Linked DNA regions of Oreochromis niloticus. The protein of the gene in region 2 purifies or fractionates together with the protein of the main gene of each other region. This does not show direct contact. Links are inferred from orthologs where the notes say so. Each region holds a gene or a part of one and is shown on either strand. Other genes may lie near its edges. The genes, in order: ppp6r3, aurka, mtmr3 and calcoco1a.

Region 1 (7,351 bases), on a different chromosome or scaffold from region 2:
TAATCTAAAAAGTAATGATAATCCTGAGATTTATAGAAAAAATATGATTAAATATCATCAGTCTTAGAGTAAGCTTATGGTTTAAGGGAAGTAGTATAATGTGTTATGATAAGCTTGAATTTAAAATAGAAATAAAATATCTGTAATATCACTAAACATTGCAGCTGAAATCTTTGACATTTTACTGGATGTACCTCAGCACTGATCTTAAACGTGAGCTCATTATCTTCGAGTAACTGCTTCTGCTTCTCTGTCCTCTTTTTTTTCTCTGTATCTAAGCGATGAATCCATTAATTACATTAATTTAAAAACTCCCACAGCGCTCTTTCCCATTACTCTTCAGTGTCCTGACACTGACTCCTTCCCAAGGTGTATCAGAGTTACAAGGAAATCACACATGTTATAAAAACTGAAAGAGCACAGTGAAATAAAGAAACCTCTCTAGATGGCCTGAGTTACGAGATATGTATATGTCAGATTCTCCAAGAAAATGAGGATTTAATCTCAGAACAAAGGCCCTGGAAATGTTGGGGAGATTATATGTCTTGACTGGCTAAGGAAGGCTTTGGTGTCCCCCTGGATAAACTGTGGCTGGCTGAGGAGAGGGACGTCTGGGCTTTTTTTTCTGGCCTAGTGACACAAACCTGGATTAGTGGCAGAAAATGGATGCAATGGATGTAGATATTTGTGACAAAACTAACTTGCATTTCCCATTTCTATTTTTACAATCAGTGGCTCGCATTAATTAAAAATAATTATTTTCAAAAACAAATATTTCTCTCTTTTCTTTCTACATTTCTTTCTGATTTTCTACCACATTATGAAACTGACTTGCCTGCAATTCAGACTGTGTCAGGCTCAACTCTTTGCATGTTGGTGATCACATAATAATACTTGGAACTAAACTACCACAGAAGTTCAAAGGGTAAAGAGGGAATTAATAGGCAGCTAAATAAATTACACTTACTGTCAACTTATGCCACATCATTATTATTATTAAAATTATTATTTTGGTGCAATGAATGTCTCAACTTTGGGATAAATAAAGCATGTTTTATCCTATCTAATATTCATTTATTATTTATTAAGTCATTTAGGTAATTTATGATATGGGTGGTTCTACCAATTTCCCAGCACCAACAGCAGATCCAGCAATACTTGAATAATGTTGAGGTCCAGGCTCCTGGGAGGCCAATCCACATCCAGTGAAATTTGTGACGGCATTTCAGTGTGTCTTCTATCCAGGTATGCCTTTACTGCATTGTCAGCATATTCGCTTTATCATTGAAAAAGTGAAAAATTAAGCCACTATCGCACACTTTCCAGATGGTATTGCACTGTGGATTTTTTGCATTCATAATTACATGAATTTTGACAAGATCTCCAGCACCACTGGCTGAAATGAGCCCCAAATCATGACATGCCTCCTCCATATTTTACCAGTGACTATAGACACTCACTGTACCCTTGTTGCAGCCCTGACATCCTCCATACACACTGGCAATGATTGGAACCAAAGATATCTACTTTGGATTCATCACTCAATAAGACCTGTTGCTACTGATTTTCACACCAGTTTTTGTGTAGTTTGGTGTAAGAATGCGTTGTTGACAGCCACCTTTCCACTGAGACCATTTCTTTGGTGAACAGTAGATGGATCAAGGGTCAGATGCATCTCTCAGGTATGTGTCATGTTTATAGAATCGGCTAAAGAAACGGGAATGTGTTATTTGTAACAAAGTTCCTAGCGACACAATTTATATTTGGATCTTTAAGTTCTCTTTAATTCCAGACACAGTACTGGTTCATCCCTTTAGTTAGATGTTTTTTAAGCTTGAATGACTCATAGGTCAGTGCTCAGTTGCTTAACCATCAAAAACACATTGCTGTCAGGTCAAAAATCTGTCAGGTACAAGGACTGGGCTGAAAATGAGTGAAAAGCAGCGAATGTCCAAAGAAGAACTTTGAAAGACCCCGAGAACTCCTTGAGAACTGTTGCTTAATATCCCTTTAAAAATTACGAGGAAATCTGGCTCCGTGAAAGCAAAACATGAAGAAGAAGAAGGGGTGGCTCAATACACAATATCGTATAGGCTATTTATAAGGTGTACAATGCAGCTTTAAACCCCGTTTAATATATTAAAGGCTCTACTTTTGAAAACAGTTCTGATTTGGAAATTATTTCAGGATCATCATCTGAATGGAAAGCATTTCATAAACTCAAACAGCTGTGTTACAACGCACTGATTCCTCCCGATGTTGCAGGGCTGGTGTTTACCTGCTTGTTGTAGCTCTGTAAAGCCGTCAGAGCCGAGTCTTGGTCGCCCGTCTCCATCTCCTCTATAACGGCACTTAAATCCATGTTCATCATCACTGAGCTAGCTGCTGCTGCTGCTGATGTCTGTATGTTTGTTCCCTGGACTGCGGATTCACGTTATGCTCCGTTACCTCTGACGGATGAAAGCATGACGTCTGAATCCCGAAGATCTGATGAGAAGCGATTAGCGAACGGGGATTTGTGCCAGCCAAGTGCTGCGTTTAGAGTCCCAAGAAAAGACGGGAGAAATAAAATTTGTGATTAAATTTTTGTAAATGGAAAAAACAAGTGAGGATGTGGATCACAAGAAACGTTAAGAGCAATATTAGACATCACTATATATGCATAGTCTAACGACTGTAAAAGAACGCTCCTCTCTCAGACTGCGGGCTGCTTGTGGTGTTCATCAGAGTTTCTAAAAGCAGTATTGGAGGCCTTCAGCTTGAAGTGAAACTGTGAAGTGCGGCACACGTTAGAGAAATGCGGGTTGGTGAGACTGAAACATCTTTCAGTAACTATTCTTTCATCAAATCGAAGCTCAGTGTGCTGGCTCAAAATTGTTGCAATTAATTGCAACATAAAGTAAGCCATCAACGACGCTGTTGGATGTCCCCATAGTTAGTGAGGTTTCAGTAAAAAGAAGAAAAAGAAAGAAGTGAAAATCAAATTTGAACCAGTGATATTTATTATGAATTATTCTTGAGGAATTTGCAGTGCTTTAATAATATAACCCTTTTTGAAGCCACAAAACAACTGAGAATGAATTCCACATACATTTTATTTTAAGTTGATGTATCACTGATGCCATTTTAGAAAGCCCAAAAGTTTCGATCATCCTTTAAAAAGACAAACGGTGTATGTGTGCAAGATTTTCCAACCGGTAAACTGAGCGATAGTGAGCAAGTCAGTGCAAACGTGAGAAAAAAATGAATTCAATATAAGATAAGATAAGATAAGATAAGATAAGATGGCCTTTATTAGTCCCACAGGTGGGAAATTTGTTTTGTTACAGCAAAAGTGCAAAGTTATGTAGCAGAAATTAGAAAACACTGGAATGCAATAAAATAAAATAAAATAAAATAAAATAAAATACTATGTACAACAGAATAAAATAGAATAGAATAATATATACAATAGAATAAAATACAAATACAAATACTATATACAACTGAGTAGGAAAATACAAAAACACAACTTCGTCAGAAGAAGAATTGCACATATAGCAGTCTTATTGCACATGTGTGGGTTTGTGTGTTTGATCAGCTGCAAAAGTTTGATCAGTATCAAACTGACTCTGAGCTGTTCCACAGTCCTCACTAATGTGGCAGCAACAAGCAACTTGAGAAGTTCGGTGCTCTCTCCTGTAGCTAGTCCAGTGAACTGAAAGTTGAGCAGAATCTTCTTTTCACTGATAATTCAATTTAATAACACATGATAATAGCACATTATCAAGTGCTGCTCATATGTCATTCTCTGATATACCATTTAAACTGACATTATAAAGCGTTTTTGAGGTTACTGTTGTCGTTAACTGTCGCCATGTAAATAAAATTACACTAACACATACCTAAAAGATAAGATAAACACACGTTCGCTTTAGGTAACGAGGGTCTGCGCTCTTTACACTACCGCCCTCAACTGGGCGTTTCTTGAACGAGACGTGGGCGTGCTTGTACGCTACTTAGTGTGCTCGATTTAAAATTCAAAGCAAACGTGCGTGCGGGGTGAAGGTTTTATATTACCCGCAGTTTACCCAAATATAGTTATCAATTAGATGAATTACACTACATTAAACCTTCAATTTGTTGTGTTACCACATGAGTCTAACTGTTTTGCTTAAAATTCGATAAACAGTATAAACCCCGTTCTTCCGGGACACTATACACATACTCTGTGTAAATGACGTCTTGACGAGACACGCACTATATCCAATAAAAGCTTACGGCCTTGTTTGAGCGACGGGATTCACAACCAATAGTTTTGCGGAAATCGTTTGATTGACAAACATTGCAGCTGGAGTGGGGGAAGGGGTCGATGAAGTTGACGGAACCGCCATCTTGAAAAGTGCCCTCCGAAGATCTACATTTTCGCGCCTGTTAGAAACAGTTTTAAAGGCTTTATTTTCCTTACCAAAATTTAATCTTAGCTCTGTCTTAGTATCGCTAAGGTCCGACGCTAATGTTAAGATAAGCTACATGCTGGAGAGTTGGTGTTTACCCTTGTCTATTGGTAGGTACAATTGCAAGCTCATACACTTGGTGCTGAAGAGACGATTAGCCAGCAGTCTTTAGATAGCCGGCTAACGTTAGCTGGCTAGCAAAGAGCATACTTGGCCATCTTATCACTGCGCTGTCAGACTGTGGTTTTTCAAGCTAAGAGGAGGCTAACGTTAACATGGCACATTATTTTAAGGTACCTCGGAATCATACTTTTATTTTTTTGTCAAACCTGTCAGCCAGTTAATATTACCCTCATATGTGACATATATTAGGTAACTGGTTGAGTTCGATAGTACTGGGTTAGCTAACAATAGCTAGTGACGTTCCTTGTACCGGTGTGTTGTCTTTAACGCCTGCACCGTTAGTGGTAGATAGGTTTGGGCCTTAGGATGTAAACGAAAGGGTAATGACGTGAATTAAAAAGGGCTACTATTTTGACTCGTGTTTAGCCGAAATGAAAGCTAACCGTATCTAACTGGGCCGTTGTGTTTTTGAGAAATGTTAACTTTGCGTTCGAATGTTGGTTAGCTGAAATGAAATACAACCAATAACGATTGCGTTGAATGACTGCCTTTACACATGCTTAAGGAAATAATATTTTTTTAAACCGCTCAGTCTGTTGGTTCGGAACTGATAGTCAAGCCCAGATGAACCAGGTGATTCTGGGTGAATATTATGTATTACCACCCAACTAAAATGTGATATCTTATTGCATGTGTATAGTTGCACTACATAGGCCTGAAATGTAGGTAGAGTTGGTATTTAGATTGATTTTATTACGGGCTCGTAATGTTTATGTGCCTACGGTATTTTTATTATTTTCGGTCTCTGGCGTATGTTAAACTGTTTTTGGGAGTGATAGTTTTATCAAAATACAGGCGTTTTATAGTGTGAGTGTGGTGTAGTTGATGTGTCAGCTGCATTGCTGAGTTAACACAAAATTCATAATAGCAGAAATATAATCGGCATCCAGATGTCTAGCCACACTTGATTTGCCAAAGTAGTTTGGGATTCACAGCAGCCGGTATCCTGTATGTTTATCACACGCAGTTGCTACAGTCTCTTAGTAACAAGTCACTGTTCTGAATATAAGTAGGAAGGTGCTTTGTACAGTGGGTGAGCTTGTGATTATAGGTTGTCTGTGGTACAGAACTGGTAATTAGAAGAACTTTTAGGTGGGAAATCAATGAATAGGGCAAATGATGAGAGGCTGCTAGTCACAAAGTGTTTAAAGATGCATACAATTTTAAATGAGGTCTTTGCTAAGCGATTTATCTGGAGAAGTACAGCTCAAAGCTGGTTTAAAAATTAAGAGAAGGTTTACCTCCTTGAAAGCAAAATAAAAAGAAATGGGAATGGATTAATACCTCTCAGTAATGTACAGTAATGTACGGAACTGGCACACATCTCAAGAGTGTCAACAACAAATATTCAGAATAGTTGCTAACAAGAAGCTTTAGTTTAATGTAACTTCAAACTTATGTGAATATAGATGAAATCACAGAAAAGCTAAGACTTTAACACATTTTCACAGGGATTTAATCAGACATCATAATCATATCATTAAGTCAGGGCTCTAGCATTGAAGAGAAGTGGACTGAAAGATGGCTTGAAAATAAAGGGTATTTACATTGGTCTTGATGGGTATTGTTTGTCACTTTTTCATATTTCTATTGCATGTTACTGAAGTTGTTTAACAACAGAAACTGAAAAACGTGTACAAATAAGAGCATTTCCTTCAGAGTATTTGTACTACACACATTCTTAACATGGGAAAAACCAGGAATTTGCAGCTTAGTTTAATTCCAGCCAATAGCAGCACTTCAGTCATTGTCATTGCCTTTTCATGTTGTCTGTCAAAACGTGGATGGAATAAGCTGTCACCTTTATAATGACCATGTTTTATAATGCTATTAAAAAGTTTTTGCATAATAATTAATTGGTTTTATTGCCTAGTTCTAATTATGAGGAACAGATTAAGTAGTAGAGTCATGTTAGCCTAGATGCACGTCTGCATACCCAGTTGGTGATGAGAAAGAGACTGGGGAGTTTATTTTTCAATGATGTCTGTTATATTAACAGACATCATTGGATGGATATAAGTTGAACAGTTAAAATAGTAATAAGTGAGAACTTGTGCCTTTTTGTTCTTTAAAGAAAGGTCACTCTTTGAGCTCTTTGTATGTGTGGTATTTCTAAATGCATGTAGGTTATTGTAAGTTTCTTATTATTGGTGTTTAATGCCAGCTGGTTAGCCTCAGCTGGGAGTCATCTTGGGCCTTAGGTGGGCTAGTGATACATCATTGACATTGTCTCTTTGACTCACTTGACCACTGTTTAATTTTAAAAACACTTAAATAAAACAAAAAAACAACTATTCCAAACATGCAAAGAAAATCTGTGTAGCAGGAGTACAATGTCTCCAAAATGCTAGGTCTTTCCTGTTGGCATTCTCCACGTTATGATAGCTCTCTGCAGCAACCAGTGTGTAGTAAACACAGAACAATGTAAAATGTATCAGGAGGTTGTCACCACTATCCAGTCCAGCTTTTTGAGTCAGGATGAGATGAATATCTGATCCAAATGTTGGGCGGGGCATTCTTAAAGCCTTTAAGTTATGTAAGCACTTCTAAATGCTGCTGACTATAATAATAAAGTAGAAATCCAAGTAGAAACATGCATACAAAAGAGGAGTGTAATATTAATTTTACATACATGCTAGGGCTGTTCAATATAACCATATATATCGGATGACAATATGAAAACATCTATCGTTTCATATTAAGCTATCGTTTGTTTCGTGGTGTCGCAATAA
Region 2 (6,991 bases):
TATAGCCATTGCAAATCGCAAGAAAAGAAGGGAGATGATAACTGTTACGTTGGGGCAGTAGCAGCAGATTTGTGGCGTTTCACTTGTACATCCAAAATCCACTTGTGTGGAAAAATCTTTAAAAACTACGAGATGACTAGTCAACAGCTTAACGTTCTCTCCAGACCAGTCGCTGCATGAAGTGGGTTTACGTGTTTCAGGCACGCCGTCTTTTCTGTTCTTGTATTCTACTTGATGCAACTCATTTTCCCGCGGACTAACGTTTCACTTTGTTCTCGAACAGGGCCGTGAAGCCGTGGAGTGGGTTATCAGGCGACTGAATACAGAAATCGAGGAGCTGGCAGCCACAGCACGTGGGACCATACGCACCCCAATGGCTGCTGCGGTCACAGAGAAATGACACCCTACTCTGGTGTTCAGTTGAGTCTCAGATTGGACTGCACAGCAGTACAGCCAGCCTCCTTCTATGATGCTCTGGTCCTGTTTGGTGCTTTGGGGATTTTTGTATTATTTAAGGGTACAATTTAGGCATGTTGTGTACTTTTACCAGTTATGTTCTAAGCCGGAGACTGCTGCCTAAAGGAGGTCTGAGTGTTTTCTAGCGATGCGGCCTGGCGGGACTGCTTTGATAGGGCGCTGAAAAGTTGGTGGCTCACTCAGGGAGATTTAAACACTACTGCCATTTGTATCTTTGAAAAAAGGTGCAATGTGGATGGACTGGAAACACAAGAAATGTGCCAATGCAGACGCTGCTTTTTGTCTTTACAAATGCCTTCTCCAGGTGTGTTTTCATCTGGCAGAAATGTGTCAGAATGCCAGCACATCGTCTCTGGTCTGAGCTTCACGTTTACAGCAGAAGAGTCGGAAAGAAAAACAGTTCATGGTGAGACGTATAGGAGTGACTGTAACAAATGCGTACACTGAGAAATGATGGCTGATATTAGCCATGGAGGTCAAGCGCACCGAATGTCACAAATGCATGCAAGCAGGTCAGATTAAACGGTTTGGGTTATCCACAGTGATCACAGTAAGGTTTATTTGTGTAAGAGAGCCACTTCAACACTGTTTTCCTATGGGACCTCAGTTACAACAACAGACTGTAATAGGTACGAATGAAAGCCTGATACTAAACTGTACTGATGTAATGTAATAACTTATGTTATTGAGGTATTTAAGTTGAAATGAAGGGATCAAAGTACTTGCCATATTTATACTTTTAAAAATGTATAGTAGACCTTCTCAAATGCTGCTTTAATGTAACATAAGCATGAATCTGTTTACTGTGTAGAAACAAGGGTCAGACTTCTTTTTACATACTAAACCTGAGGTTGTTTCAACTGAAGTAGTTTTATCAGCACGTACATAATCCTGTAAGCATGATCACTGAGTGCAGGGGCCGAAAGCTTCACACTTATTACCAGTAAAAGCTGCTACACGTGCTAAGCGAGCATTTTGATAAAACTGTTTCAGTGGATACCCTGTGTTTGAGATAGTCTCATAGTGGGAATCTGTGTGGCGATGGTAAACGCACAACTTTCTGTACATAAGATATTTATTAATATATATATTTTTTTACCTATGCCAGGAATATTTATTTTTGAAAAAAGAACAATTTGGCAGAGTAAACTATGAGTTTGGTTGATTTTTAAAGGCAAAATCACATGTTCACCTTGTAATTTGTTTTCTGAATGGGTTATTGTGTAAAAGATTCTCACCAAATGCAGAATGTGTCAATAAAATATTTGAACCCGTTTTATTTAAGAGCTTTTGTCAGATATTCTTTCTTGTTTTTCAGCTTTAATAAATGTGAAGACGCTCTTGATTGTGTCAAAATAACCTGACCTGATTGTCTTTGATGGTTTCAGTCAAGAGACAGTCACTTATTTTATACATCTGAACTGTCAGCTGGAAGCAATGGTTGTATATTTGAAACACAGAGGGAGTTACCTGACATAAACCAGAAACGCTGCACATTTGACAGGATGCTTGAAGTTCTGACTTCATCATGCAGGCGCCACATGCTGCCACATAGTGGACAAATGTCACAGTTACAATTTCTGTGAAAAAATTAAGGAAATGAAATGTTGCTAATTAAAAAGAATTATTTAAAATGTTTGTGGAAGAGGAAATGATTCATATTTTATATATTTTGGGTGACATATTTATACAGGATTTTTGACATTATAAAAATGCAGAACCCCAAGTCAGACTCATTTATTTTGAACCAGTGTATGAGCAGCTCTGTTACATATCTGGTATGAAAAAGTACACAATAATAAAAAAGCAAATACAGTTCAAAGAAGCATGGGCCTTATGGTAAAGGCCGGCTCAATTTTTTTGATCGATAGATTTTTACATATTATTTTCCAGTATACATTGTTTTCTTGTTGTTGTTCTCCCTTTATAATTTATTACTTTTTATTCTAATTAAGCATATAAATACATAAATAGCATATAAACAGCTCTTCAGTTAAATTTGGAATAAACATAGATAGTTTATTCTCAGTTTTGTCCTTACAAAAGGTGATGCACACCCAAAATGGCATCACCACTGCAGGTGCATGGTGCACTTTGGCGTCACTTTGGCTTGTCTTGCAGACCTGATTACTGCAATAAATCCTATTTAACTTGGGCTGACCTAACTTCACACCCACCACATCTGCATGCCCCTGCTCTTTTATTTACAGATACTTCCAGGGACATGGTGAGATTTCTTTCAATACATTTTCTGGCCAGTTAGCTCCTATTGGTTAGATAGTTAATAGTCACTGAAGTGCAACAGTGATACTGAAGAATGTAAGCTGCCCTTGCACAACCAGTTGCATGAAGAAAATAAAATTCTCATAATCTCTTTGAAAACAGAGAAAATGTCCTTATCGTCTGTGTTTGAGTCATTAGCACAATTCAATAAAACACCACAAATGGGAAAGAAGTTCTTTTTTTAATCCACAAAAATCACAACAGTATCCTATGATTATTCTGAATCTCTTGGAAGCCTGTTTTGTTGGATATATCTGACCCTACTGTACTGATAAAACTGGATTTATCACCACGTAATTAGATTAATTACCCACCAAGAGATGCCCAAAGATATCTTGCAAAAGGAAATCACTTTTCCTTAATTAATATTTACTTCTCCCTGGATGTAGTTTCTCGTATATTAATAATACACATCTTAGCAAAGGTTTGAAGACCATGTAATTAAAAAAATTCCACGTAGTTTTCTAATAAATCATTTGCTGCTTGGTTATATAAGCCTTTAGTTTGTGTAATAATTATCCGTGAGGGTGTCAGAAGTTGTTTTTCTTACATTTTCCAGCCAAAGTTTTAAAACTAGCAAAAACAAAAAGAAACATAAAATAAATAAAAGACTTTATATATAGTTTAGAGTAATTTAGACAACACAAACAAATAAAAGGAGGGCTCTAAACTCGCTTTATAATTTGCTGTTGATTATGAAAATTGCATTTTTTATTTACTTAAGCATTGCATTTATTCCTTATGTGTTGCTGATTTAACTATTTTCTTTTTAAAGAAAATCGTTCAATAACAATAATAATAATAATAATATAAAGACAAATAAATGCGTTTTGTAATTTCTGATCTACTGGGAATCAAAAATAATAAATTTAAAGAGATTTAAAAAGCGATATCATTGATAGTAATAAAAAGAAAGACAATACTATGAAACTATAAATAACTCTTGTTTTTCTGAGTTTATATTTGGGAAGAAACTTTTTTTTCAAGCAGCTGAAGTAATAATAAAGTCATTAAGTGTAATAGCATGTGGTGTGGAAGATTTCCTGTACTGACAGTGTCTGTGGACTGCCCCCTAGTGTTTTGGAAGATTCACTTCGACTTTAGTACGTCACGCTCCACCGGCCGCCGCGTGTAGCCTCAGCCAATGGAGAGTGAGTACTGAGCATTCCCTCAGCCAATAGCAGCCTGTGTTGTATTTAAAGGTTTTAAACCGAGGGCCGTTTGAAATTAAACAAGCAGTCTTCGGAGAGTTAGCCAATCTCAGTCAGTCTCTGTACTGCTACAGCTTTGTGCTTCGACTTTATTGTTTTATTAGCACTCATGTAGTATTTTTTAGACAAAAGAAGTGATACTAAGGTAGACTGGTCGATAAAGACTCGTCGTAACATCTCCGTGGATAGTCCTTATGTTTGTAGCGAGCCACAAACGCCAGCTGTGGTCTACTGGCCGACGTAGCTGTTAGCTAGCCTCCCTTGGAGCTGTTTTCGACCCGTTTATGTTCTAGAAAAATTATCGATTAGCGTTGAATCGGGTCATTGCAATAATATATTTAGGTAAGTGGTTTTATACAACTAGCTTGTTGAAAAAGTTGATGTTTTGGTGTGGATGCAAATTTAACTTTACCTGATCGGCAACAACGTGACGTTGATGGCTACTGTTAATCTTCCTGACAGAATAAACATTGTAAATTGTATATACGTGTTTAAACAGTTATCTCAGACACGAATACAAGAGCGTCTATATCCAAATAGGATTGTTGTTATTGGGTTTTGTTTTTTGTTTTAGTTAGAAGAAATGTCTGTGAAGGTTCTCGGTCATCCAGGTCATCGTAGTCTAAGGAGGTTGGAAGAGACTCTTAGCTAGAAGAAACGTGGCAGACTAAAGAGTTAAACAAACTGCATGTTTTTCTTCATTCCTATCATTTTTTTAACCCTTTCTTTGATTAAAACCTGTCTCCGTTTACTTCTTTATTAGATTATGGACTCTACTGCTATGCACAAGATGCCAAAAGGCACGAAACTTCAAAGGCCTGAAATTAAGGTAACTCATCATAAACCCGGAGCTGGTTGAAAATTTAATTAAATGTGTGTTTTTGTTTTTTAAATATCCTTGATTACTGTGTATGGCATTAGATTTGCGCTTCCAGGCATACCAGTGTCTTTTCTATATGGCTTATTAAGAAGATCTAGTGTATATAGAGACTCGGCATATGCATCACCAAAAATGGAGCTAAGAGAGAATTGACCCACAAAGTTGGATGGGTGAAAAGGACCATGGCCAAAACTAAGCACTTGTATGTGATCATAGGAGTACGATCCACTGATCCCAACTATGGATAGGATTTTAATTGAGGATGGGATTAAAACAGAATTGGTGTTTGTTAATTTAGATAACCTTGTCTTTTGAGGTAAAAGGTAAATGCTGTTGTTAAAACTTGTTTTTTTTTTTTTCAGATTAGGTAACTCACAAAGGTAAACAGATTTCAAGGTTTCAGATTTTTAGAGTTAATCATGCCTTGTTTTCATCCTGACTCCCAGCTGCAGCAGCCTTTTTTTCAGGTGACAGTCTGTCACTATTTCCCTGACTGCAACTGGTCCAAAACGCTGCAGCTTGACTTTTAACTGACATACGCAAGACAGACCACATGTCATTTTTAAGGCGTTGCATGCGTTTGCACCTTCTTGCCTCCATTTAACTTTGGGTACTTCCATCAGATCACTGAGATCTGCTTAGCAGGTTCTCCTAGATTAAAACAGAGCTGATCAGGTTTTTGCTCCTAAATTGTTGAACAAACTGCATCTGCACATCTGGACCCCTCCAGCATTAGACATTTTCAAAACCTGTTTTCATCCTTGGCTTTTAACTCTAATTGGATTACTTTTTCTCAATCCTGCTTTACTCATGTTCTCATTTTTTTTCTTTTTAAAATCTATTTTCTTTTTATTATTTATGTATTTTATCCATCCAGTTATACAGGATGGTAGCCAGCAGTTATTTTTTTAAATGAGCTTATAAATAAACTAAACTGACCATATTGACTACACCACAAAGGGCATTGTTAATCCTGATAATATGAGCAGAATTGGTGACCTTAAATTGGACGTTGGTGAGAGCATATGGTTGTCTCTGTCTCTGTTAGCCATGCGACACACCAGCGACCTGTCCAGGGTGTGCTCAGTGAGAGACTGGGTCGGATAGATGGTTAAGAAAATTAAGAAATCAATTTCAAATTACAATTATTTCAAGGTATATCTAATTTATGATACTTTCAAAAAATAAAAAGCTTGAAGCTTTTTTTTTATTATTGTTGTTTATCTTGTTTGTTTGCAGTCAACCAGTGATGGGCCCAAGCGGATTCCTGTATTGCAGCAGTCACAGCCCATTCAGAAGGCTGTAGTCACACCAACACCGCATCAGCGGGTTCTAGGTGTATCAAATGGACCTCAGCGCATTCAGAGGCCTGTGAGTCATCAGAAACCAGTGTCAAACCTGCCCGTTACTGTCAAGTCCACACACCCTGCTGATCAGAATGTGAACCCCGCTACTCAGAATGTAAATGCAGCAACACAGCTCAAACCCAGCACCCAGCAAAACCAGCCGAAAACGCAAGCTCCTAAACCAAACCTGACCAAACCCCAGTCGGAACCACAAAAGCCAGAGAAGCCACAGGGTAAGTGTAATACTAAACTGGGAAAACAATGGTGTTTGTGTCTGTGTTTTGGGTGCTAAAATGTATCCTCCTCTTTCTTTGTCCAGACAAACCTGCCAAGAACGATCATGCACAAACTTCTACATCAAAGTATGTTTAAGAGTGGTTCTTTGTCTCATCCATATACTTTTATGACAGGTTACAGTTTATGTCGCTCTTGCTGTAACCGTGTGCTGTTCTGCTCACACAGGACACGGTGGAGTCTGGAAAATTTTGACATTGGTCGTCCTTTGGGAAAGGGGAAGTTCGGGAATGTTTACCTGGCCAGGGAGCGACAGACTAAGTTCATCCTGGCCCTGAAGGTGCTCTTCAAAAAGCAACTGGAGAAGGCTGGGGTGGAGCACCAGCTGAGGAGAGAAGTGGAGATCCAGTCTCACCTCAGGTAACATCTGTCGAATTATATTTTACTGTTAATTGTAATTAACTGCTCCCCAGACTCACGTTTCTCAAACTGTGGTGAGTAGACCCACTGCAGGCAAACTACAGATAAGGGAAAAGAGGTGGGGTCAAACTGAAGTGACT
Region 3 (6,996 bases), on a different chromosome or scaffold from region 2:
AATGTCCCTAGCAAGAATTTAATTGTCATTTAGGGACACTATGAAACTGCCATTTTACCAGAAGAGAATGCATCCACAATTACGTTTGCAATTCAGTTCAACATGCATTTAATCATTTAAACCAGAAACCCTCACCTTTGCCCACATACAACCCAGGTTCTTGGTGGTGTGGGTGTGCTAGAAATAAACTGAAATCCACTTTTAAGGTTTCAAACCTTGTTCTTGAAGCTGGCACCGGCCTGGTATGTAAATACATGTTTGTGCGGACGCCAGGGTGGTTGAGGGGTTAAGACACCAACCACAAACTACAATATCCCCAGTTCGACTCCAGACCAGATCTCTCATCTCTGACCAACCTCATTTCTCTGCTGACATGAACAGACTAACAGCATTTTCTACATAAATTTTAAGTGTTTCTGTTAGCATTAGAAAGCATGTGAGCATATTTTCAAGTTTACACGTATAAAAGTAGTAGTAGTAGTAGTAGTAGAAGCAGAAGCGAGAGGGAAAAAAAAAAAAAAAAAAAAGGAGTGGCTCATAATACGTTAATGAGGCTGTACATGAGCACCTGGATGCACAAATGCCTTTCCCATGCAGTGTGTCCAGGCATTGAGAAGACTGTAAATGATGATCAACTATGATATGTTGGGCAGTCAGAAAAATGGCAGTATGGGGGAAATCCAATGGTTGGATTTACATGGTTAAAATTTAAGAAAATGAACAAAATGTGAAAACACAGATTTTTAGACTTACCACAAACAATCACTAATGGATGATAGGCAGACCTGATGATCCTGTGTGGAAACTCTCACAAGTAAGACATGGAAATCTGTGGAAATGAAAGTGAATAATGAGAAAATGCTTCTCCTTACTGAGGCACACAAGCTACAGAAGCTCTTTTGATTCACTGGCAAATATAGATGCCCTGGTGGTCACAGTGGCTTGCATGTGAGCTCAGATACCACTTAAAACTGTACTGCAGACTGGAAAATAAGCCAGCTGGTTCTCCGAGCCTACAGTTTAGCTTGCATAAAGACATGGTTCAGTCACGTGAATTGATCGGCTAATGTTCACCTTCAAAAAAAAATAAACAATTATGTGCACAATACATATTTAAGAACATACAGTCACATTTTGAGGTTCTTAAAGGGTAGTGAAAGACATCAGAAATGCTAGTGTTCAATGAATTGTGCTTTGTGGTTCAACTACCCAACAATGGTTGGTAATTTGCCCAAATGGTTGGCCAAGCAGAGCCAAAGACCTTGCAGGACTTGTCCAGTGGCTGACTGGTTTTAAGTTCCTACCCAGGTTGCCCTTGAAAGAGCAAAAGAAATGCAACTTATCAAGAACAGTAAAAGCAGCAGCAGCTTTGTTGGTCAGATCATGCAAACCATCTATACAGAGCTTTTTCTTACATTCCATTATCGATATCCTCTAACATCACTTTTCAAAAGGCAACCTGTTAGGATCTCTCAGCAAACAGGCCCACAAGTAGTTGTAAAGGTCAGCTACGCTTGCAAAGACTGAAATTTGATCTAAGAGGGTCAGTGGAGGGGCAGCTCAGGAGACCAACACACCTTCTCAGGAACATTTAAGCAGCCTGGAGACAGAAAAAAGACAAAATATCCCGCTGTACTGCCAGAAGCATCTCCGGTCATTGAGAGAGAGTTGTGAAGGAGGCAAACGAGGTCATTACTTCACTGAGAGCAGAGGCCAACTTTTACTGCTGCTGCTACCTGATAAAGCATATCTGCCCAACACACGGCTCTGTTTACTGCAGCCCGCTCGTGACCCGTGGCTACGGCTCAGTCTGGCTCTCAGTTCAGCAGTCACACAGAAAAGTCTAAGCCCCTTAGAGCCTTAACCTTACTCCTATCCCGTGACAGGCCAGTAATTTTCACAAGTGGTAACATTATCGACACTCTAGCGTCTAAATGATATAAGGAAAAAACAAGAAACGAGACAATGAACCAACACGGTTGACAGCGGAGCTTTGCGTTCACAGCTGGGTAGCCATACTGAACAGCGCCGCTAAAAAGTGTATAAACGCAAAAGCCTCGGCTAACTTCGTATTTGGGGAAAAAGGATTTCCCAGCTCAATTTTAACACTTTGTCGTTACCTTTTACTTCACTAGGGCGAATAAAACGTAAACTGGACTTAATTAATCACCAGTTAATGTTATTTCAGCTAGTTAGTATTCGATGTAAAGATACCGGTAGTTTTGGCCACTAAAAAAAATAAGCTACGGTCAACCCCAAAACAAATGCTTCTCGCAAGTGCTCTGCAACGTTACATTAACACGTTGCTAGTTGACGAAAAACCGTTTGCAAGGGTGGAAAAGAAAATAGCTAACGCTTCTTGTACTAGCAGGTTGTTAAGTCAAGTAACTCCTCTTTCGTTATTTCCTTTTTTTTTTTTTGAATAGCGGTTAGCTAGTTTTTCTGCAGCTATGTAATGTAAACTGTTGGCTAACCAGTGTTCATCAACAACCACTCGACAGCGTAAAATAATGCTAGCGAGCTAACGCTCAGTCGAAGAGCTATTTACATGCAAACAGTGGAAATTAACATTTGCTGGCAGGCAGTGAACTGTTGTGCAGCGGTCTTTTAACACTCGACGTTTGGCATTAAAAGCCATGACACAGAGCAGCGCGTAGACCTGCTAGCTAGCACTAGCTGGTTAGGCTGAAGCTGCTTTCTGCAACTGTTTTTGTTGTTATGAGATGGAGGGCGGACCCCAGAGCGGAGGCCTCTGTCAAAACACACCGAGCAACGACTACAACCGGCGGACTCACCAGTCAAACGAGTGCTGAGGTGTTAGACGACAAAGACTCATCCGAAACTTGTGCAATTACCAAACATTAAAACAACGTGTCCAACATGAACATGAATCATACCAGAGCCGAGGCCAGCTTCACTGCGTCCCTTTCCAACACCGAGCCGTCGTCGCCATCGCCGCGAACTCTCCCGTCTAAAGAGCTCTACGTGTGAGTGACGTCATCGCGTCAGAGTGGTTCTCTGGAAAAGGGGAGGGGCTCAGCCACACGGTAAGTCATGTAAACACTGGCAAGTGGGCTGCCTGATAAATTAATATTACAACAGCTTTAAAACGTTTTTTCCTTTTCCTTTTTTGTATTCAGGTAGAAATGCGATCTCAAGTATCATCGATTTTCAAACGCCTTATAAGCAGACAGAGTACATCTAATTAAACAAATGGGACACTATATTATATATACTCATTTTACACACTAAGGTAAAATATGTAGTTATATATCTGATTGGTGAATGAAATTAGAAGTCAGATGTTTGAACTCAATGACATTTAGTCATCAGTGACATTCATTCAGTCTGAAGAAATCCAAAACCATTATTCTTATTCCAAGAGGTTCATATTAATGAATGTAATAGTGAGTCATTTTCCTAAATAAATAAACATTCAGTCTACTTTGTTTGACTGGCTTTTCTTTGAAAATCCAGTGGTGTTTATTGTCATATTTATAATATCCACAATTGCCCAAGTATCACTGCTTAATGTAGTGGACATGAATGACCCTGAATTCAATAGGAAAGATGAAGTGTTTCCTTCACTGAAAGACTGCCAGAGAAGAGTGCGATGTGAAAATGATTACACTTAAAAATAGTTAGGGATGCACGCTACAGTGTAATATTTTATATATCCACATGAATTTGCAGTAACTTTTGTATGTTAATGTGTGGAGCACTCTTTGCTCATCATAAAGAAATAAAAACACAACACAACAGGATCTTAAACAATTATGTATTGACTGATGGCTTACACAGCCTATGCAATTTCATTTCCAAGATGCTTGGCATACCATTGTCCATTCTTTAACATTTAATAGCCTGACGTGAGGCATCAGACAGTTATCTAAGCCTGAAGGATGCTTCTTTCGATTGGCCCACAGCTGACTTATAAATGACAACTTCCCTTGGTGACAAACTCTTGGTGCCAGATTTTTTTTTTTTTTATATAAGCAAATCTTAATGCATTCATTCAAGTTTTGCCAATCAATCAGTTTCTCCATTATTTAGTGACTGAAGTCAGTTATAAAATTAAAACATCTACTGTGTAGGGCTATTGTGATATAGAAAAAGCTTTGCTGTTTTCTGAACTTACAAAAAGCCCTACACCCCTCTCGGATCAGACTTCACCACAAGGCATTTCTCCATGAGGATAATGCATGGGGCATGTGATATGGCACAAAATAAATCTGGAAGTATAACGTTTGTAGGGCCAGTCTCAGGTTCTGATTTGACTGTAATCTTGACAAGTTTGTGAGAGCAAATTTCTCAGCTGCACCATGCGTGGACTTCCCTAATGCAAAAAGACTTCAAGTGCTGATTCAATGTCCCTGTGCAAGAACAATAACACAAAAACAGTCTATCCCTTGTTGTGTGAGCAGAATGGATTTGCATGCAAAACAATGAGATGAGCTTTACATGAAGAGATAATGGTCTGGGTAAATACATTTCATTTTCAGTCATATGTCCATGTTACCTTGAGAAACAATGAAGCTTTCACATAAGAAATGCCACTTCTAATCATACAGTATATTATGCACAAAATATGATGGTAAGAAAACCAGAGAGAAATCTTCTGTGGCTCCAAGAAAAAAACAAAACAAAACAAAACAAACAAACAAAAAAAAACCAAACAGTATTTCCAAGAGCAAAGTCTACTGATCTAAAAAATGCAACCCATTTAGCCTCATCCTGGTGGTTCCGCTCGACACTGTACTTTGACACATCCATGTAATGAATTACAAAACAGCCACGACTTTCCAACAATCCGCTTTTTTTCCCCTCCGTGTGAGTGTCGAAAATCCCATAATCATACAACTTCCACATGTTCGTCGAATATTTAATGGAGTCATTCTCCACGTCACATAGTTTTCATATTCAACACCACTGATGAGAGCAACTGTTTCAATAAAGCTTTAAAAAGCAAGACTACCCTGAGAGAAGGTCTAAAACGTGGGCAAGCTTGCCAGACCAGAACTGGCTTGAATGGGTTTGGTTTATTAAATCTGTACACTCTATTTCAATATAATCAGCACATTTTTGTTCCAAGAATGTAAGATAGTATTTTTTTTTAGTAATTGTGTAATATATATCTCTACATAATACAATCCAAGTCCTCTGAACTATGTAGACATGTGCAAGTGTTCACTACCAACTTCAACGATACAGTAAAGGCAAAGACTTGTGGACACTAAGTTAGGATAATGTTGATATTTGAAATTTTTCTTGAGTCCTCACAATTATCAAAAAAATCTAAGTGCTGTAAGTACTTCATACACGAGGTATTGAATATCTAGTTAACTGTTCTGAGTATAAAATAGAGGCAAAATACATAAAGAACATCTTGCAAGCATGACAAAGAAACGTCTACAGACACAATACACACGTGGTCAAAGATAATATGAGGGGATACCTGTAACCTTTTGTGTTCTTGAATATAGCATACTTACAGACTGATGAGAGGTCACACTGTACGTATCATGCTTTTAAACACTGGGAACTTCAGCCTCAAAGTAGATCAACGCAGAGCAGGGGTGGCCTAGCTAAACAGCATCTCTGTGCTTGAGGTGTTTTGTTCCGTATCATTTACAGTAAAACGCAGATTTTCAGAATGTGCAATCAATCAGGTGTTACTCCATAACACATACAAAGGGACGAACAGCAGCAGATTTATCTCGTAACCCCCCAGCCCCCCAATCGCCACCACCACTCGCTTCATTGTTTGACCCTCTGAGGCGTGAGCTCGCACCCGAAGCATGATACGCCAGCGCCTTCCCTCCGTCGGTCCAAACAAGTGTGCGTCGTGTTTATGCAAAAGAATGGAACGCATGGTCGTCGCATGATGTGCATCAACATAATCTGAGGTAAACTGGGTGTCCTGTGTCTTGGCCCGTTACAGTCTGAGAACCAGTGCCTTAGAGAGTCAGAGAGGTAAGTCTGAAAGAAATCGTGTAAACTGTGCTCGTGCGAAGTGACTGTTGCACTCACTACCAAAAGCACAAGGGCCCTAAACTGTAAACCTCGAGGATTATTCAAAGCAAACTAAAGAAACCAAAAACACTTCAAAAGTACTCTACTCATTAGGTTTAACATTTCCTTTTTTTTCTCGTTTTTTGCAGGGTTTTCAACTTTTTTCTTTTTTCTCGTGTTTTCGCTCAAGTATAATCACAGGTGACTAACTACAGAGGATAAACAGGGTCAGGTGAGTACCATGCTACATCAGGTTTAGAGAAGGCTATTGCAGACAATTCTACAACATGTACAACCACATTTTATACGAGTGAGTTACAAATATTTCAAAACATATCACCAGGAAACTAAGTACATACAAGATGTTGAATATTTAGAGTCTTAAAGGACTATCCCTCAGTCAGTAATAGGATTTCATGTTACTTGACTTAAACTGTCCAGTCTTACAGACAAAATCTGAAAAATTGCTATTCAAAAAGTAGCAAATTTGGTCAGTGTCTCTTTTCAAATAGTTATAGTGCTTTTAATGGCTTAAGACAGGGGTCTTCTTTTAATCTCACCCAGTGGCAATCTACAGAACTTCAGTGTACATTTGATGACACCATAGCTGCAAAAGTCTTCATGTCAAGTCCAATAAGTAAAACGACAGCTAGTGCTGTCACATATATTTCAAAGTAGTATGCATTATCAAAAGGAAAAAAACAAACAAACTAATACACATTTATAAATTTTTTTTCAACTCTCAAGTTCTTGTAGGGAATTCAACCGTATGATTAGCTCCGTGTTCCCATTTCCTGTGAGTTATCGTTCTTGGAGGACAGGCCTTCAGGAGCCACGCTCCATTTAAAGACGTCAGGAAGCTTCTGAGACTCTCCTGTGTGGCGCAAAGGTTTGGATACACCTAAAGTGGACTTAAAACTCCCATTCCAGAGTCTCTTCTCGATTGGCTGCTCTCTCTAACCTGTGGATGATGTTATTGAGGTT
Region 4 (7,708 bases), on a different chromosome or scaffold from region 2:
AGTGACTTTTATATATCCTTTATGAATCGATGTAAAAACTATCGTTGACAGTAAAAATGTCTTCTTCAAAAGAGAGCTGGCCAAGAGGGCAGGAGAAATTGCAACAAATATAACATAACAGATCTATAAAGATATTTTAAGTGGCCCAAAAGGACTGGATTGATTAAAATGTAGAGCACAGAGTGGGTACGATAATGCTGAGTTAAAAGACACTTGCAGAACAGGTCATTTCTTTATTTTGTACGTAACCACTTCATAAATCCTGTTGACTACAGCCTATCTACCAATATAAGCAAAGATATTAGTCATAAAAACACATCAGCAATCACTGTTTGGCATAAGAATGTCTCTCATAAAGTTGAAGGCTTACAAATTTTGAGAGCAAAATAACTGCTTTTCAGACCAGCTGTGCTACTTGCATAACTTTAAGACTTTCACTATCACCAAACTCCTGATTCTGTTTCCTTTTCATGCACCTTTAACCAAGCATACTGGAACTGATGAGGATACACCTCCTGCCTCCCACACTGACCACAAAGCAGTCAGCCTTAGTCTGTGACTCCTTCCAGCCTATAAAGTAAGCTGATCTAATATCATTATCTCACACAGACCATTGCTTCATGTTTGGAGTGATTTACTTAGAATTACTGTTTCACAATACAGCTACAGTAAAGGGCCAAGATAGAAAACAGACAGAGGGAATGACATACGGTAAAGTTTATGAGCTGTATTTCAACTTCGAGCACCGGCTAAGGTCACAGAAGAGGCGACCTTCTTTTTAAATCACTGCATTGCTGCTGATAAGGAACCATCAGTACTTTCTTTAGTTTCCTTTCTCTGTACTGAAGAATGACATTGACAGTATGTTTAAGTTAGCGATAAATCACTTTACCAGGGGTCAATGCCACACCTGCTGTACACGTGCCCCTCACCCTCAATCAGGCTTATCAGCTGCCCCTGACACACAGGACAAAGTGAACACTGTATTCTCCAGTGAGCAGCAGCAGTCAGCAGAGCAGCCTTTGGGCCATTGTCTTTGTCATCCTCATTACTCAACCTCCTGCTTACTAAAGAAATGAATTCAAACCATGACAGAGAGTGTCTCTGTTAGAAACCAAGCTAAGTTAGATATTTGTCTTGTGCACAGGATTTTTCCCCCTTTTTTCTGCTGAAGAATTATTTTAAGATAGAAATAAACATTTGCTTCCACTCAGTATGTGATTCGCTAGCATTTTGTAAATAACAGAGCAATTCATTTTACAGAGGCATCAATCTCCTGCTGAAGGTTTTATGTGCTGATCTAGTACAGATCCTGTGTGACTATGGGAAGTAAACACAGTTAGAAAACAAATGTATGAATACCCTGAAACTGAACACAGCAGTTGACATCTGTGCCCTCTTGGTAGTCAGCCGGGGCTAGCGCCCATACAAAGGTGTGGTAGTCCTTTACTGATGTCCATCCCTCCTGAAGAAGAAAATGTGTGCACAGTGTTAACTTTAAGTTGGATATTATTTATTTAGTTGCTTTTCGAGAAATTCATCAGAATAGCAATACCTTGAAGAGCCCTATCCAATCATTACTGGCCCATATGTGCCGTGAGCTCAGCGTGTAGTGGCAGTCGACTCTGCTCTCAGGAAAGTAGCTGCAGCCCACGTTTCTAAACTCCACCTGCCAATCCTTATCCATGGCAACACAAAACAAATGCTCTATTGCACCTACAAGAAAGAAAAGAAGGAAAAAAAAAACAAACCCAAAATCAACCTACAAACCAACATGCACAGTTACATTACACATTACATTACACAGCTATTTCTGGGATATAGGTAAGAGGTGGTCACTGCTGAACAAACAAGAGGCCCCAAGTGTGTGAATATTTTTGTTCAGTGTAAGATCTAGACTGAGTGCACACTTAAGGAAACAGCACCGATGCAGAACTAATCCTCAGTGACAGCATGGTCTTCAGGCAACACGACACGTTACACAGGTTGTCACCGGGGGCTATTTCAGTCATCTTCAAAATCATTTGCTATTATACAGCGTCACGTGTAGGCATGCAGTATATGGGCTCAGATTCCACTAGTGGTTACTTCCCACGAACTTGTGGTATCCCTGCAGTTAACCACACTGCTTGCCTACAGAAAGCATTATTTTTGTGTGTGGCGTAATAACTATGGTATAGGCAACATTTATGATGTGATGGTACACTGTTACACAAACAAGGTGAAACACATGGTAAATATACATTTTAATAGAGCAGTAGAGACAAGTATGATGAGATTTTCAAAAGGAACAAAAATAAAGCAAGCGCACAATAAACCCAATGAGGATTTACAACAAGCATGTTCTTTAAACTTGGATTAACTTTGACTCTTCTGTACTTTGTATTTATCCCCTGTGGTACAGTCAATAATCACAGATGATAAAAGTTTTCTATTTTTTGTGAAACACCCAAAACCTACATAAGGTACGAATAGTTTCTCATGTAAATACGGACAAGATAAAATACAGACAGTGCGTAAAACAATGCACCAGTGATCAAAATAGCTTTTCCGTGGACTCGTTTTACATGGCACGAGGCTTAAGGCCCAACAGTAGCACATGTCAAGAAAACAGTGTGTCATGCCCGTCGATGAAAGCTTTAAGATGACAAACAAACAATCACAGCCACTACGGAAAGACCTGAATCCGTGCACGTTAGTTATATTTGTTAATTTGATGGGAATGCAAATAATAAGAGACAATGCAGGGCTTTGTTAACTACCAAAAGAGATCTGCGCACATTATCTCGACCCGTTTCTGATGTCTTTGTTACCTTTACGGTCCTCAGCCCTCTGCAGACGATCTAAAGGAGCCCTCTATGTGCGAGGTACTGGACTGACAGTCCTCAAGAAACCCACGAAAAAACACGGCCGATGCAGACTCGCTTTCCTCACGGAGCTCAGCTGGACCAACAACGCGAAATAACAACAAAAAAGCCAAAGCAAAACACAAGCACGACAGCTTCTTCTGCACCGTGGAATTATGGGAGCTGTTGTTCACAACGTAGCTGAAACTACGCCGAGATACCCCTTTTTAAACTACAACCCCCAGGGTCACAGTAGACTAACAGATCCGCTGAATGTAATCTGACGCGTCTCATCGGCCGCCGTTGTTTTTCGCATCGGATATCTGCCAAACCGCGGCTGTCCTGCTCATTCACCAATGGAAAGAGTGTGTGTTATTTGCGATGAGAGGAAGACACACGTAGCGGATGTAATAATGAAAACGGATGTTTTTATGTGTAGTGATTGTTCGAGTTCATAAATATTTGCTATATTGCGCTGTAAACAAATCTGCGCATTATTTTCCATACAGTTGGTAGACTTCGCAATATGACGGTTATTTAATTTGATGGTAAAGTATTACAGGTTGTATAGTTTTTGCCTATTTATTTTAGTTTTAAATCAGTGTCCCACGGGAGCCTTTTCCACTTCATGTATCATCTGTACTTTGATGAGGTAAATCAGGAACCACAGCAGATCCTCTGACGTCAGCCCACGTTCCAGATTTAATGGAGGGGAATTCGGATTTTAGCCAAAAACATTTTCCAAAATAATCCAGTGATCCTGCATTTTGGAAGCGCCCCAATTTGGCAATTTCTTTAGGATAAGCCTGATATCCCACAACGTCTTCAAACATGAGGACAAATAGAGCGCATGACGAGGTTACAGTGCCGGGCAGCAGATGGCAGTATACCATCTTGAAAACCAAAATTAAACATGCAAGTCTAAGCAGACAGTGCGGTCTTTTAAGCCCACAATGAAAATATATCACAGCCTTTTTGTCCTTTCACTATTAGATACAAGATAAAGGGGGATACACTGTCTCTCTATGCTGCAAATTTTAAAAACAAAGCCTGGGTTCACCATCTCTAGCTTTGCCTTAATTCATAGATTTCATTTTGCAGATATATCAGAAGAGAAATGCAAATATGGCTGTGCAGATATGTCTCAAGGCTACAGTAGTAGTATTGTCTATCTGGGTTCACAATGTGTTATTTTGATATTTTTAATTAAAAAAAACATTAAAATACTGGTTTTAGTTGAACTGATTATATTAAATGATTTAAATTTAAATTAGAGTTAAAATGGCAAAGAAGTCTTTAACTGCAAAAAGCCATCAATAACAAAAACCTATTTAACAGAAATGGAAATTAAAAGTTAGCATTCTCTATTAAAGGTTATTAGTCCTCCACAACCACAAGTTAAATAATGCTCAGCCTGTATTATTATAGTTATTGATGTTACCTCATTGCCCATAGCCAGCCTATTTATCTCTGCTCATTGATGAGACACTCCAGTCACACAATACTTTACTCCTCCTCAATTAGTAAGTCCAGTTTGGCTAATTTAGTCTGTTGACGACACTATAAGGATGCTTCATGTAATTTTATGCCGACGGACAGTCAATGCTGAGACCCTATAAATTGTGTTTAAGTGGATTAATAGTGTGCTGAGCCTGTGTGAGCAAAGTGGTGATGGAAATAGTGGCTCGCTCTCACAGTGGGATAATTAAATAGGTTCTACTGTGATGACTGGCTTATTCAGTAGCCACTGTTTACATGCGTCTTTAGGCTTAGGTATTATTTAAAAAAAAGATTTCTTCTGTTGTATTCATCAACATAATTCAGTGTGGATGTCTTGCTTTTGCCATTTTTTAAAATCACGAGTTCCCTGGAACACAGAAAAATCAGATATACCAAAAATACTAGCATAAGTATTGTTTATGAATTAATCCTATATGCTTATTTCTACTGGCTTTGTGCCACTGTATTTTTTATTTTATTTTATTTTATTTTATTTTATTTTATTTTATTTTATTTTATTTTACTTTATTTTATGATAGTGTTGTGTCTGATTTCACATAGCCTTGACTTTGAAGCGTCATTGTTGTGTAAAATTAGAAGACGGTTGTGCAGTAGGAATGTGAAGGCTTCACCATAATAGAGACTAGACTTAAAGTGGATTGTCCATGAAACTGCTTGATCTTGACCTGGCTGCCTGCTGTTATGGCTCCTCTGCCTATCATAACATCCCACCTCTACCCTGCAAACTTGCGCACACATGCAGTTATGCTGACCGTGTGAATTTACAGCTCTTTTTTGTTTTTTGGAAGGAGATAGCTAACATTCACACTTCGAGGCGTTAGGTTGGGGGAAAAAATAGTGTTCTGGCACAAAACTTTCAACATGTTGTTTATTTATCTGTTGTGGAAGTACTCCACACAAATTTAATCCCTGTCATCTGCTGATTTCTAGCAGCTTGGCTTGGAATTTCTCTCAATGCTAGAAAATGGTATAGCCCCTGAGTGCTACTGCAGTTTTATTACCTGAGGTGGTTTGTCTGAATATAGCTTACCACATGTCTCATTCAAAGGGAATGGCAGGTATGTGTCACTAGTCATAAATTGCAACTAGCCTTCAGCAGTAATCAGTTGCCAAGGAAACCTCAAATGGGATTATGACCTTCTGTTGTGTATAGCCAAGCAAATTGTTAGAGTTGTCAAGATCCAAGAGACAAACATTAAAGATTTATGTCAGTAAACAATTTATTTTCTCATCATACTAAGTTAATGGGTAACGTGTCTTGCGTGGGAATAAAACCGAGAATATAAGTTGGCGGCATTTTTTTTTTTTCTGGCTGGGTATTATTTAAAACTATACGGGCAGTTTTGACTTTAATAATGGTAGTTACTGTGTTTTGTAGTGATGTTTGCTTGTTTTAAGATATAGTCAAAGAAAGGCATTACAAGGTAGAAAACAAAGAAAGAAGAGCGGAAGCAGAGTGCCTAGAAGGAGGGTAGAGTGTTGGGAGGGTGGAGGTAGAGAAATGGGGGACAGTGGTATTTAGTATGCACGGCCAAGCTGCCCCATCTGCTTAGCGCAGCAGTCCCTGTCGTATAACTGTCTGCAGGCCGTGGGCCACATAAAGAATGTCTCAGATTTGATGTAATTCCGCAAAATTAATGACAGCTTTACTCGGTATGGGCCGTGAGGGAATGATTAGTGTTTGATCGTCCATCTGATCAGTTCCCTTGGCTGGCTGCAGAGAGATGCTCCACTATATGCCGGTATGTTGCCTATGGCAAGCACACATGCACACGCAGATACACCTATCCCAGATAATTCCTGGGCCCCCATGTTGTAGTTTATGTTTAGGTTCTGGTTCGCGTTTCCCTCAACAAAAACATCCAATATCTTGTAAAATTCTCTGTGCTGTGACACTTCACATCAATGTGAACACCTACTGATGTGCTGGATGCAGGTCCCACTGGTAATGTGAATGTGCACAGGGCACTTTTATATTAGGCTGTGCGGTATTTCAAAGAAAAGTGGGCCAACCAGCATCCAATTTAGAGAACTCGGAGGTCACACTATGACCTTTTACAAGATATGCTTTACTGCAGCTGTGATTGGAATTGGGTATTAGTTTTTAAAAGGGATGGTGAGTGGATTGGGAATTTGAGAGAGAAAAAAAATTGATCCATTGGATGGATTGCTGGAGTTGGACAAGTGGAATACCTCTCGTCGTTTTAATTCAGCCCCACCTCAGTGTTCCCAACCCCCATCTCTTTCCTCCTCTTGGGCTGCTGCGTTTACAAGCGAAGGGGGCATTCTGTTTTACAAGTGAGCCTGGTGCGTCTCGGTGTGCTAGCAACATTAAAATTGAACTCGTCTTATCTGTGCAAACCGCGAGGCTTTACATCATAGGCTGACGTGCTACTGCCATGAGGCCCCACTGTGCTTTTATGTAATGTGGTGCAGTCAAAAACCCAGTGGACAATTAAAGTGAGCTGATAGATAAAGAAGTGATTGAAGACCAGAATCTTAGTTTGTGGAATGCCCTGTGTGTTGGGGGGAGGGACACTTTAGTGGTTTATTATTGTTAACAAGGCAGAGTCCAACACATGACATGCATCTCTTGGCCAGATCAAGATACAGCATCTCACGTAGACAGACTGAACTGGAGACACGGTTTTCAGAGTTGCACCTATTTTTTTGCTGAGTTGCATATGCCAAAGCTAATTTCCCATCTGACCATTAGTACTCTGGTCAAGTCCAAAGCATGGAGAGCCTAATTCAGCAAAGGCTTGGGGAGGGTTGTTTCTGCCAACACAGATTGTTGGACAGATTGGCAGTCCTTCACTGTGTGTTGATGCAGTACTTTTCCCTCAAATTGTGCACAATTATAACAAATCACTTGCAAAAACACCATTAAAGTAAACAAAAACTTGTTCCAGTTCAATTGCAATTCCGTTCATTATCCTCTCAGTTTTCTCCTTCCTCAGTACTTTAGAGTTTTTGTCCTTCCTTCCATGACACTCTTTCCAAATTATTTGAACATGTTTCCTCCTGCTTGGGTTCCCCCCTTCCCTGTCGGCATTCTCTAATCTCCTTTCATTTTGCTCTTTTTCTTGGCCCACTCTTCCTCCCCCACTGCTTTCTTTTTCTCCTCCTCATTTTATATTTTTGGCTGAGCTGAGGACCTTTCCTGGTGCAGTGACCTTTCTGGTTTTAAATTAAGCCCCACTGCGGCACGTCTCTCTTCATAGATCGCCAGTTACGAGCCTTCAGAGAACCGCAAAAAAATAACGATTCTGATGAAATGGCCCCTTTAAAAAGCTCTTCCAAATTCCTTTTACATTTTTCTTTGCCTCTTCCCCCCTTTC

What was found.
Region 1: the proteins of aurka (region 2) and ppp6r3 purify together in Homo sapiens (affinity purification with mass spectrometry; 6 studies listed by BioGRID and IntAct, counting the BioPlex papers as one, with this or other methods). This does not show direct contact. The link is inferred for Oreochromis niloticus from reciprocal best matches to the Homo sapiens genes AURKA and PPP6R3.
Region 3: the proteins of aurka (region 2) and mtmr3 purify together in Homo sapiens (affinity purification with mass spectrometry; 3 studies listed by BioGRID and IntAct, counting the BioPlex papers as one, with this or other methods). This does not show direct contact. The link is inferred for Oreochromis niloticus from reciprocal best matches to the Homo sapiens genes AURKA and MTMR3.
Region 4: the proteins of aurka (region 2) and calcoco1a purify together in Homo sapiens (affinity purification with mass spectrometry; 3 studies listed by BioGRID and IntAct, counting the BioPlex papers as one, with this or other methods). This does not show direct contact. The link is inferred for Oreochromis niloticus from reciprocal best matches to the Homo sapiens genes AURKA and CALCOCO1.

What each region holds. Positions count from the first base shown.
Region 1 is NC_031972.2:39,401,044-39,408,394, reverse strand, and holds the start of ppp6r3 (serine/threonine-protein phosphatase 6 regulatory subunit 3), read left to right. Parts: upstream 1-4,334; 5' UTR 4,335-4,546; intron 4,547-4,597; exon of another isoform or gene 4,598-4,729; intron 4,730-7,351. Other genes in the region: ric8a (chaperone Ric-8A), read right to left, coding at 2,279-2,371.
Region 2 is NC_031970.2:6,634,067-6,641,057, reverse strand, and holds the start of aurka (aurora kinase A), read left to right. Parts: upstream 1-3,966; 5' UTR 3,967-4,313; intron 4,314-4,734; 5' UTR 4,735-4,737; coding exon 4,738-4,800; intron 4,801-6,090; coding exon 6,091-6,430; intron 6,431-6,516; coding exon 6,517-6,559; intron 6,560-6,659; coding exon 6,660-6,851; intron 6,852-6,991. Other genes in the region: prelid3b (PRELI domain containing protein 3B), read left to right, coding at 284-400. UniProt on the Homo sapiens protein: Mitotic serine/threonine kinase that contributes to the regulation of cell cycle progression.
Region 3 is NC_031977.2:6,305,264-6,312,259, forward strand, and holds the start of mtmr3 (phosphatidylinositol-3,5-bisphosphate 3-phosphatase MTMR3), read right to left. Parts: upstream 3,015-6,996; 5' UTR 2,898-3,014; intron 830-2,897; 5' UTR 754-829; intron 1-753. Other genes in the region: cux2b (homeobox protein cut-like 2), read right to left, coding at 6,925-6,996. UniProt on the Homo sapiens protein: Lipid phosphatase that specifically dephosphorylates the D-3 position of phosphatidylinositol 3-phosphate and phosphatidylinositol 3,5-bisphosphate, generating phosphatidylinositol and phosphatidylinositol 5-phosphate.
Region 4 is NC_031984.2:19,325,591-19,333,298, reverse strand, and holds the start of calcoco1a (calcium-binding and coiled-coil domain-containing protein 1), read right to left. Parts: upstream 3,021-7,708; 5' UTR 2,814-3,020; intron 1,717-2,813; 5' UTR 1,688-1,716; coding exon 1,556-1,687; intron 1,466-1,555; coding exon 1,363-1,465; intron 578-1,362; exon of another isoform or gene 488-577; intron 1-487. UniProt on the Homo sapiens protein: Functions as a coactivator for aryl hydrocarbon and nuclear receptors (NR). Recruited to promoters through its contact with the N-terminal basic helix-loop-helix-Per-Arnt-Sim (PAS) domain of transcription factors or coactivators, such as NCOA2.